Regions from separate parts of the Mus musculus genome. Here region 2 is reported to be linked to region 1. The links are microRNA targets in miRTarBase. Many come from high-throughput screens and were not tested one by one. Region 1 holds a microRNA gene; the other region holds the end of a gene's coding sequence.
What was found. Region 1 holds the annotated microRNA mmu-miR-5136 (AUAUGCGAGGGAACUACUGG, at 2,789-2,808, shown strand). A microRNA usually pairs through its seed, bases 2 to 8, with sites in the 3' UTR of a target mRNA and lowers its output. Matches are read on the target gene's strand: a 7mer-m8 pairs with bases 2 to 8, a 7mer-A1 pairs with bases 2 to 7 and ends in A, and an 8mer does both.

Region 1 (4,385 bases):
CAGAAGGACCATGTGATCAAACCAAGCCTGGCCTATATAAGGAAAATCTTCGAAAACAAAACAAAGTCCTCAGATCTGGCATCTCACTGAGTGCTGACTGGGAAATACAGGCCCTCAAGATGTAGATGGCACAGGGGTTGCCTCGAATGCAGGTACCCTGGGTTTGAATCCCTAAACACAACCAAAAAGAAATGTTCCTTACTTAACTCTAATGCTAAACATAGTGTGGACTATGATCAGACCCTCTCCTCCCTATCTACCACCCTTAATCGTCTGTATGTTCCAGAAATGCAGAATTGGAAGTGTTTAGAAAGATGGGGGGGAGGGCACTGAAGAAGCTAACCAGTTTCATTTTGAGATAGGGTCTTACAGCTGGGCAGTGGTGGCGCACACCTTTAATCCCAGCACTCGGGAGGAAGAGGCAGGCAGATTTCTGAAGTTCGAGGCCAGCCTGGTCTACAGAGAGTTCCAGGACAGCCAGGGCTACACAGAGAAACCCTGTCTCGAAAAACCAAAAACTAAAAAAAAAGAAAAAAAAAAGAAAAAAAAAGATAGGGTCTTATAAAGCCCTGGAACTCAATGTGAGGCCTTGAACAGAGATCTGCCTGCCTCTCTGCCTGGCAAATGTTGGGATTAAAGGCATGCGCCACCATGCCTTCACTTTGTAGCTTCTTGTCGCCTTTGTTGCACAATGTGTCCTTCTTCTGAAGTGTCTCCACCCACACGCAAAGGCCTTTCTACATGGCTCATCCCTGCTGCACTTCATCCCACACGGTGAACGCACTAAAGCTTTATTACAAAAGGAGTTGACTGCTAGAGGTGGCCCTCCAGTCTTTCTCTGTGTCCTCTTCGGTCCCAATATACACCTCCAGGGGAGGTCAGGGTCCGCTGTAGAAGAGGTGTCTAGGAAAGTGAAATATGCTAATATTTTTTCCAAAGTTCCTCCAAATCTTTCTCAGTGCTGTTGACCATCTTCTGGTAGAAGAGGCAGGGATTTTAGCTCTTATCTTCAAGATCCTCCATAGCTACGTCCTGGGGAGCTTTTATCTTCTTTTGTTGCTTGGGCTGTGGCTGACTAGTCCTGGTTGACTTGGAGGGGGCTTCCACTGAACAAAAGGAAAGGAAAAAGAAAGCATTAAAGATAAAACCCAGGGGCTGGTGAGATGGCTCAGTGGTTAAGAGCGCCGACTGCTCTTCCAAAGGTCCTGAGTTCAAATCCCAACAACCATATGCTGGCTCACAACCATCCATAACAAAAATCTGATGCCCTCTTCTGGAGTGTCTGAAGACAGCTACAGTGCACACACTGTAAATAAATAAATAAATAAATAAATCCTAAAAAAAAAAAAAAAAAAAAGATAAAACCCAGGTAAAATCCAGACTTCTTGTTGTGTAGCCTCTGTGCCCAAGACTTACCTTCCATGGCTGCTTTTTCTTTCTGGGCAAGTCGGATCTGCTGCAAGAGTTTCCTGCGCTTCTTCCCAGACAGCGTGATGTTGGCACGAGCACTGGACCTGAGTGACAGGAAACAAAAAATATCCAGGTTCATTTGTACCAAACTGAGCCTCAAAAATGACCCCAGCTAAGAAAAGGTCTCACTCTGTAGACCAGGCTAGCCAACAGGCAACCTTTCTGTCTTAGTCTCCTGGCACTGGAATTTAAATGGGAGCATCATTGCCCAGTTTTTGTTTTATAAGGTCTCTGCATTCAAATTACTGAATGGGCTCTGGTGTCCTCAGGGAACTCTTTAACACTTAAGACTTTTTAACAATTTGACTTCAATATGTACCTCAATAGTATTAAGTCAGTAAGTTCTGAGTTCGAGGCCAGCCTGGTCTACAGGGTGAGTTCCAGGACAGCCAGGGCGACACAAAGAAACCCTGTCTTGAAAAAAAAAAAAAAAAAAAAATCCAGTGAGCAGCTGGGGGGTGGTGGGGGTGGTGAAGGACTTTAATCCCAGAACTTGGGAGGCAGAGGTAAGTGGATCTCTTAGTTAGAGGCCAGCCTGGTCAACACAGAAAGTTCCAGAACAGCCAGAGCTACAGAGAAACCCTGCTTGAAAACCCGAGACAAAACAATCAACAACAGCATCAGAATCCTGTGAGCAATGATACCATAAGAGGCTAGTAGTTTGGAAACTAACATAACTCTCAACTAGTTGCTGCATAAACGTGAAAGAGAACAAGAAATTTGGAGACCTCTGGGATGCTCTGAAACCTGGTAGGAAGTGGGTAGGAATGTCCAACCGGAGGATAATACTGTACGTACGCCCGCTTCTTGAGGTGGTGCTTCGTAGTCAGCCCTTCGTCTATCACAGCCCCGACCACCTGGCGTTTCCGTCGCCGATCCCTGCTTAATACCCTGCGGCGCTTGAACAACTTCTTCTTCAGCTCCTGCGGAAGAAAAAGATGCGCATGTAAGGTTCTGCACACCCACCCGGGATCCTCCGCACCTAACAACCCCAGCCCCTAACTAATCCTGTTTCCAAAGAGGAAAATGCCGGGAAGCAAAGGGAAACAAAGACGCAGTTCCCACTCCCACAGTTCAGTCACCGTCCGGGGACGATTGATCTTTCCTCCCGGAGGTGCCATGGCTACACTCCGCGGCTCATTCCAAAAGCCGCACTTCCGCTCCGCTCACAGGTTCCGCCACACGCAAAAGACCCCGCCCTCTGATGCCTCCGAACCAATCGCAGCTTGGAGGCGGGCACCAGGGGTATATAAGGTTGTTCCGCGCGTTGCGGGGCCTTTCCAAGGGTGGTTTTCACGTGAGTCTTGATTTTGTCTTTATATGCGAGGGAACTACTGGGAACTGGGCCTGACTTTGTAGATCCTCCTTTTCTTGGCGGGGACCGGGCGTGCGGTCCCGCTCCCCGTAATGTACGGAGGTAGAAGAAAGGGCTCTGGCCCTCTCGGCGTTATGTCTTCGGTGCTTGCGGCTTCCCGTTCGCGGGTTCTATCCTCAGACGCCGGAACACTTAACCGTGCAGAAATGTAGCTAGGTCCCGCAGTCCCCTCTGGGTTACTCAACGCTTTTTATTTTATTTTAGGTCGACATTGACGCTCCCGGAGTGATGGTTAACATTTTCTTTGCTGTTTATTATTGAATCAATAAAGTCTGTGAACCCTAAGGACCCTGTGTTCGCTACCTTTTTTTTCTGCGACTCGTAATTTGCAAATCTTTAGGACCGAAAGCACATGTTGGGAGTGATAGTGACTATTCACTAAAGATCTCTGGTCGATCTTGTGGGGGGACTTAATAAGCTAAATCTCAACCAGGATGTAAATCTTTATGAGTATAGAAAGTGCGCTCCTAAAGGCATGGGAATCAAACCTGTAGTTATGGTAAAAAGCCTAGCGTAATGGTGCGCACGTGTAATCAGCAGAACTAACCTGGGGTAGCATGCACCCTTATCTTCAAGCTTCCTGGCATTTAAACTGGCGGTAGGCACAGCTTTCTCACTAAGATATTGGAAGTAAAACTAGGATCTCAATCCTCCACAGGCATGCCCTGTGGATGTTCTCGGGGTGGACTTGTCTCCGTGCTGGGACCTACATAAACAGCCTTATACAAGGAGGCCATTGCCATTCCCAGTGCAGAATCTGGGAGCCCTAGCATCCTTAGGTTCCTCACAGCTCTCCAGGGATAATTGTTGCTAAGCGAGATTTGCCTGAGGATTCAAGGACCCTCCTTTTCAGCTGCCCTACTAGAAGTAAGAAAAAAAAAATCCAATGGCTGGACTGGGTATAAAAATTAAGCCCTAAACCGGGCAATGGTGGCCCACACATTTAATCCCAGCACTTGGCAGGCAGTGACAGGCAGATTTCTGAGTTCAAGGCCGGCCTGGTCTACAGCGTGAGTTCCAGGACAGCCAGGGTGATACAGAGAAACCTTGTCTCGAAAGACCAAAGAATAAAAGTTAAGGCCTTATAAGACATTCAGTTAAATCTCAAAAGATTTCTGAGAGTTTCCATTCTGCTTTTGTTGGTCAAACATAGAGTTGGAATTTTGCCATTGTATGAATAGCTAGTAATTGAGAGTGTTTTCCTGGTTTGCACAATTTGTGTCCTGGTTCATAAACCTGGAGCCTGAGGGTAATACTGGGTTACCAGGTGGGGAGACCTGACATCATTACTGGCTGGGCTCAATCTGAACTGCAGAGCTGGTGTGAATTGTGTGTCCTGCAGCTTAGAGTAAGCCAAAGAGCTTTGAAAACAATAATAATGGAGATGAAATTGGAGGAAAAAAAAAAACACCAATACTTACCCCCAAAAGTACTGAGAGGTGGGAAATGGGGATATTCCATAAATCGTGTTCTATAGATGCAGGACCCTGTTGGGTCCCAAAGAGGACAGAGATTGGGAGTTTCCTGACCCTCTGTATCT
Region 2 (4,385 bases), not on the chromosome of region 1:
TTCACTTCCTGAATGTCTGCCCTCTCTAACAGAGCTCTCTATCCCAGTGCATCTCAGAGGGGTTGTAAAATTGACATTGGTCCTCAAGGGTGGGTCCCAGTCATTGGGTCCAGTCTACTGAGGAGATGTGTTAGCCTCTGAGGTGGACCACCTTTTCCTCTTCTGATCCCTAATCATATCTGCTTCTCTTTTTTTACTCTGTGTCCCTTCAGGACTCACCTCCAGGACCTCAAAGAAGTAACACACAACATCCACTATGAGACTTACAGGGCCAAGAGGCTCAATGACAATGGAGGCCTCCCTCCGGTGAGCGTGGACACAGAGGAAAGCCACGACAGTAACCCGTGATGAGCCCTTCTCTGTGTTATCATACATATCCCCCTTCTCCAAACACACACACATCCTAGATACCACCTCCAGCCACCACCTCCTCTCAGCTCTGTCCCCCAGGCCTGTCTGGTATTTGTGCAGTATTTTGTCTAGTGTGTGTGTGTGTGTGTGTGTGTGTGTGTGTGTGTGTGTGTGTATGTATGTGTGTATGTGTGTGATGGAGAGTGCCTGCGTGTATGTGTGTGTGATGGAGAGTGCCTGTGTGTGTGTATGCATGTGTGTGTATGTATGCGTGTACTCAGGGGTGAGGTATTTTCATTGCCCTCTTTGGAAAGTCCTTTGTAAGTCTGCTTTCTCCATGACTCTCCATTCTGTCTCCTTTTTTCTTGTGCTCCAGAACAAAAAGCTGTGCGCCTCACTCAAGAGGTCTGGGGAAGGTTTTAATTTATAATGCTGGGAGCAGGTGAGCCACAGGCAACTCTTTCTTACTTCTGACCCACCCACAAACTGGGGCTGCAAGTATTCTTCATGGACTGGTGGCTGAGCTAGCCTGTGGTGGGCTGTGGGAGCTCAGAACAACTTTTCACTGTAAGTTGAGGTAATCTGGAGGAAGGCTAGGACTTCTTGGGGAAACAGAAGATTCGTGGGGAGCAGAGAAGAAAGCTGAGGGGCTCCTGCAGAATTGGTGTCTGAAAATGGAGCTCCACCCTTGTGTCTATGTTGGGGTCACTGTCAAACAGCGGATCATCACCGCTGCAAACCACTGCTTTCTGTGCCCGCCTTCCCTGTATTTCCAGGCTGGTTGGTTGCTTCCTCGTCCTGATTTCTCTTCTCCCTCCCCAGCGTCCTTTGCCTCCTTTCTTCATATATATTCATGCATTCACCCCATTTCCTGCCTGTCTCTGACCTTTTATCTCCTTTTAGAGTCATCTATGTTAGCTTCCTTTCTATATTTAGAAATCATGCCCAGACTTTCTAAATTGACTTTCTATTACCCTAAGATAGAATCACAGCTAGGGGCTGAAGAGATGGCTCTGTGCTTCGGGGGACCTTTTGCTCTTGCAGAGGACCCAGGTTCAGTTCCCAGCACCTTCTTGGTAGCTTACAGTTATCTGTGACTCCAGTTCCAGAGGACCTGACACCCTCTTTTAGCCTCTATGAGCATGGTGTACATACATACACATAGACAAGCACTCATACGCATAAGATAAAAAAAAAAAAAACCCTTAAAAGAATAAGATCCTAAGTAAAAGCATGGGGCAGGGCATGCCGAGATTGCAAGAGAATTCAGTTATAGAGAAGATGACTAGGAAAGCCAGTTTCTGCAGCTGACCACTGAAATTTGCTCTGACTTGGGAATAGCCTGGGGAAATGGGAGAATTTGGTAGCTTGGGCTGCTCTGGGTGTTCTGTTCAAGAAGCACATCTATTGGGCAAATGAGGCAAACTTTAGGTGGAGGAAATTATATTCACAAACTAATTCTGAAGAATCGGAAAAAATATACAGAGTTTCTTAGGCGGCTGGACTTGTGAGACAAACTAACACAGTTTCCCGTTTTCTAGCAGCCTTCTGTCCATGTTAAGCTGGCTTCTCTGTGGCTTTGTTTCTTACAAACCCAACTCACTCTTTCTCTGTTCTCATTTGTCTGTCTGTCTTTCTCGGCTTCTCCCCTCCCTGCATTCTCTCACCATCCAATCCTGTAGATGTTCCCAGGAATACCCACAGCCATACATTTAGCCTTCTCTTGCCTTCTCAGGAGCCTTGTATTTATTAATGCATACTTTAACTGCTCCTTGCACATTCAAGTTTTTTTTTTTTCCCTACAGTTTCTAAGGCTGCTTTAAGGAAAGCCATTTAGCCATAGGAAAGGGAAGATACCACAAAATTCTGTTTAGAACTGATCTATCCACTATGCCACCTCCCGGTCCAGCCTGGGTGTAGAACTGGTCTTCACTGACTTCAGCCCTTTATTACCCAGTCACTAGGAAAACAAACACACAGACAAACAAAAAACAAAAAGAGATGGAAGACCCACAATTCAGTGGACCAAGCAGAAGTGGTCCTAATCCTATGGTCTTAGCCTTTCCTGGAGACTGCTCTGTCTCTAGTCCTCATCTATAACGTCACTAAAGAGTGGCCAGCTGTCAGGCTAGAGTGGTAGCAACATAGAGCTCGCTGACAGCTCTAGTGAGCTGCCCTGTATGGTGACATGGGATTGGGCACCTAGGGCCAGCAAGGGATAAGAATGGTGGGTGTTGGAGAGTCTAAGTAGGAGAATGCTGCCTGTCTCCACTAAGCTGTGGTCTCACTCTCCCTGGAGAAGCTGTTTTATGTGTCTGCTGCCGGCTGCCGGTCTCCACACCCTCAACCGTTCTCAACTCCCCCTGCAGGGAGAAGGCCTCCTGGGCACTGTCCTTCCACCTGTACCAGCCACCCCCTGCCCCACTGCTGAATGAAGGCCATTTCAAGTGCTGCTTCTCCCTCATCCCTCCCAGCTGTTATTGCTGCAGGGCCACGCCCCTTTTAGCGCTGTGCTTGTCTAGCCCACCAGCACAGCCCCTCTCAGCCCTCAGTAGGTGGGAGGGGCTAGCTGCGGCTTTAGGACAGTTGCTTCCTCTGTTTAGCCAAACTACTCCTCTCCTCCCAATGGAATGGAGTTCCTGCCAGCACCACCCTGCTCCATCATCTGTGTCAGCAGCACCCCAGTCCTTGTGTAGGGAGGAGGAACTCATGGGAAGCTGCTCCTGCCCTTGCAAGCGCATACCAGCGACTTGTAACTGTCTCCAAGGGAACCGGCATTGCTCTCTAGCCATTCATTCTGCATGAGTACTTTCTTGGCTACCTTAACCGGTCAAGAAAGCAACTTTCCTGCTTGTCAGAGTCACTGAGGTCAGCCGTGTGAGCCCCTGTGTGGGACAAGGGTGTCTCCTTCATTGCTTAAAGGTATTTTATAAGGGTGATTCATTATACATGGTGGGGAGCCAGAGGCTAGTGTCACTTAAAAAAAAAAATCACCACTGGTGGCTGGCCCAGTGAGTATGTGTGTAGACAACCTGTTTACCCCAAAATATGGCCATCTGGGAAGTGGGTTTTGCTGAAAAGAGGTTGCTGGAGTTGACTTAATTATCCCCAAACTTTAAAAGAAAGGGAATTTAACACACATATGGACTACCCCAAACCCACCAGCTATACACTCTAGGAAGAAAAATAGCACCCTTTTATACATTTAGCAATAAGAGGGATCTCTTCCCACCTCCCCTGACTATTCCTACTCCCATCCCCCACCCTGTTAATGTGAGCAATGCATTAGCCTGACCACAGGTGGTCGCTATAGGCTAATGGAAAATACCCAAATGGAGGGCAAAGCCCCCATCAGATGCATGAATGTTTGCGAACGAACGGCTGCCACTGCCCCATACACTGTGTCTTTCTAGAACCCTCCCTCAGCCACCCCACCTGCCATCTCCACCTGGACACAACTTGCTCAAAGGCTGGTGACTTGTGGGCCATTCATCTACAAGTCCTGAAGGAACAAGAGGCCCAAGCCTCGGGGATGCAAGAATGGCCCATTTTAAAAACGTTGTTAGTCCCAGCCGACGTTTTTGGTGATATTCCAGTTTAGTTTCCCAATTGAAAACAAGCCAAACAGACACTCAGACTGGTCATGTAGATGTTGCTAGCCTCTGTTGTACAACTAAACATTACTGTTTGAACAATAATGGCCTGGTCTTTGTCTTATTCGTGTTTCTTGCTCCTTGATAAAATCAGCCGTGAATGACATCATCTCACTGCGTGTGAGCCAGGGACCCTCCTGGCAAGGCAAGAAGTAGCTACAGATATTAGATATTGAACATGTGGCATCTATTCATTTTTTGGGTAATGTGAGGCTATATCCCAGTCATTTCCTGGAATTTTGTAACTCTAGTGAGCGGGAGAGCTGACTCTCTTAGGACCTGTGTTTTTCCAGGAAGTATTTAGTCCCAATTACTTAACTTCTTAGCATTTCTCCCATCCCCAAGGCGTAAGGACCAAGTCTATAAATGAAAGCCTAGTCT

Region 2: miRTarBase lists Septin3 as a target of mmu-miR-5136. Seed matches in the 3' UTR shown: 7mer-A1 at 1,530-1,536.

What each region holds. Positions count from the first base shown.
Region 1 is chr19:8,887,132-8,891,516 of GRCm38, reverse strand. Mir5136 (microRNA 5136) reads left to right here and starts at 2,743; the gene lies at 2,743-2,818. It overlaps Lbhd1 (LBH domain containing 1), which reads right to left. Exons shown (of 6, transcript NM_001286103.1): 3 at 4,267-4,385; 4 at 2,269-2,393; 5 at 1,417-1,514; 6 at 758-1,106. The coding sequence ends at 1,076. 1810009A15Rik (RIKEN cDNA 1810009A15 gene) reads right to left here and starts at 2,634. Exons shown (of 4, transcript NM_025463.3): 1 at 2,553-2,634; 2 at 2,269-2,393; 3 at 1,417-1,514; 4 at 758-1,106. The coding sequence starts at 2,591. The coding sequence ends at 997. 5730408K05Rik (RIKEN cDNA 5730408K05 gene) reads left to right here and starts at 2,747. Exons shown (of 1, transcript NR_027866.1): 1 at 2,747-3,130. It also overlaps Snora57.
Region 2 is chr15:82,290,526-82,294,910 of GRCm38, forward strand. It overlaps Septin3 (septin 3), which reads left to right. Exons shown (of 12, transcript NM_001368785.1): 11 at 213-306; 12 at 728-4,049. The coding sequence ends at 781. Among named protein-coding and RNA genes, the nearest start is that of Wbp2nl, 6.3 kb to the right of the region's middle.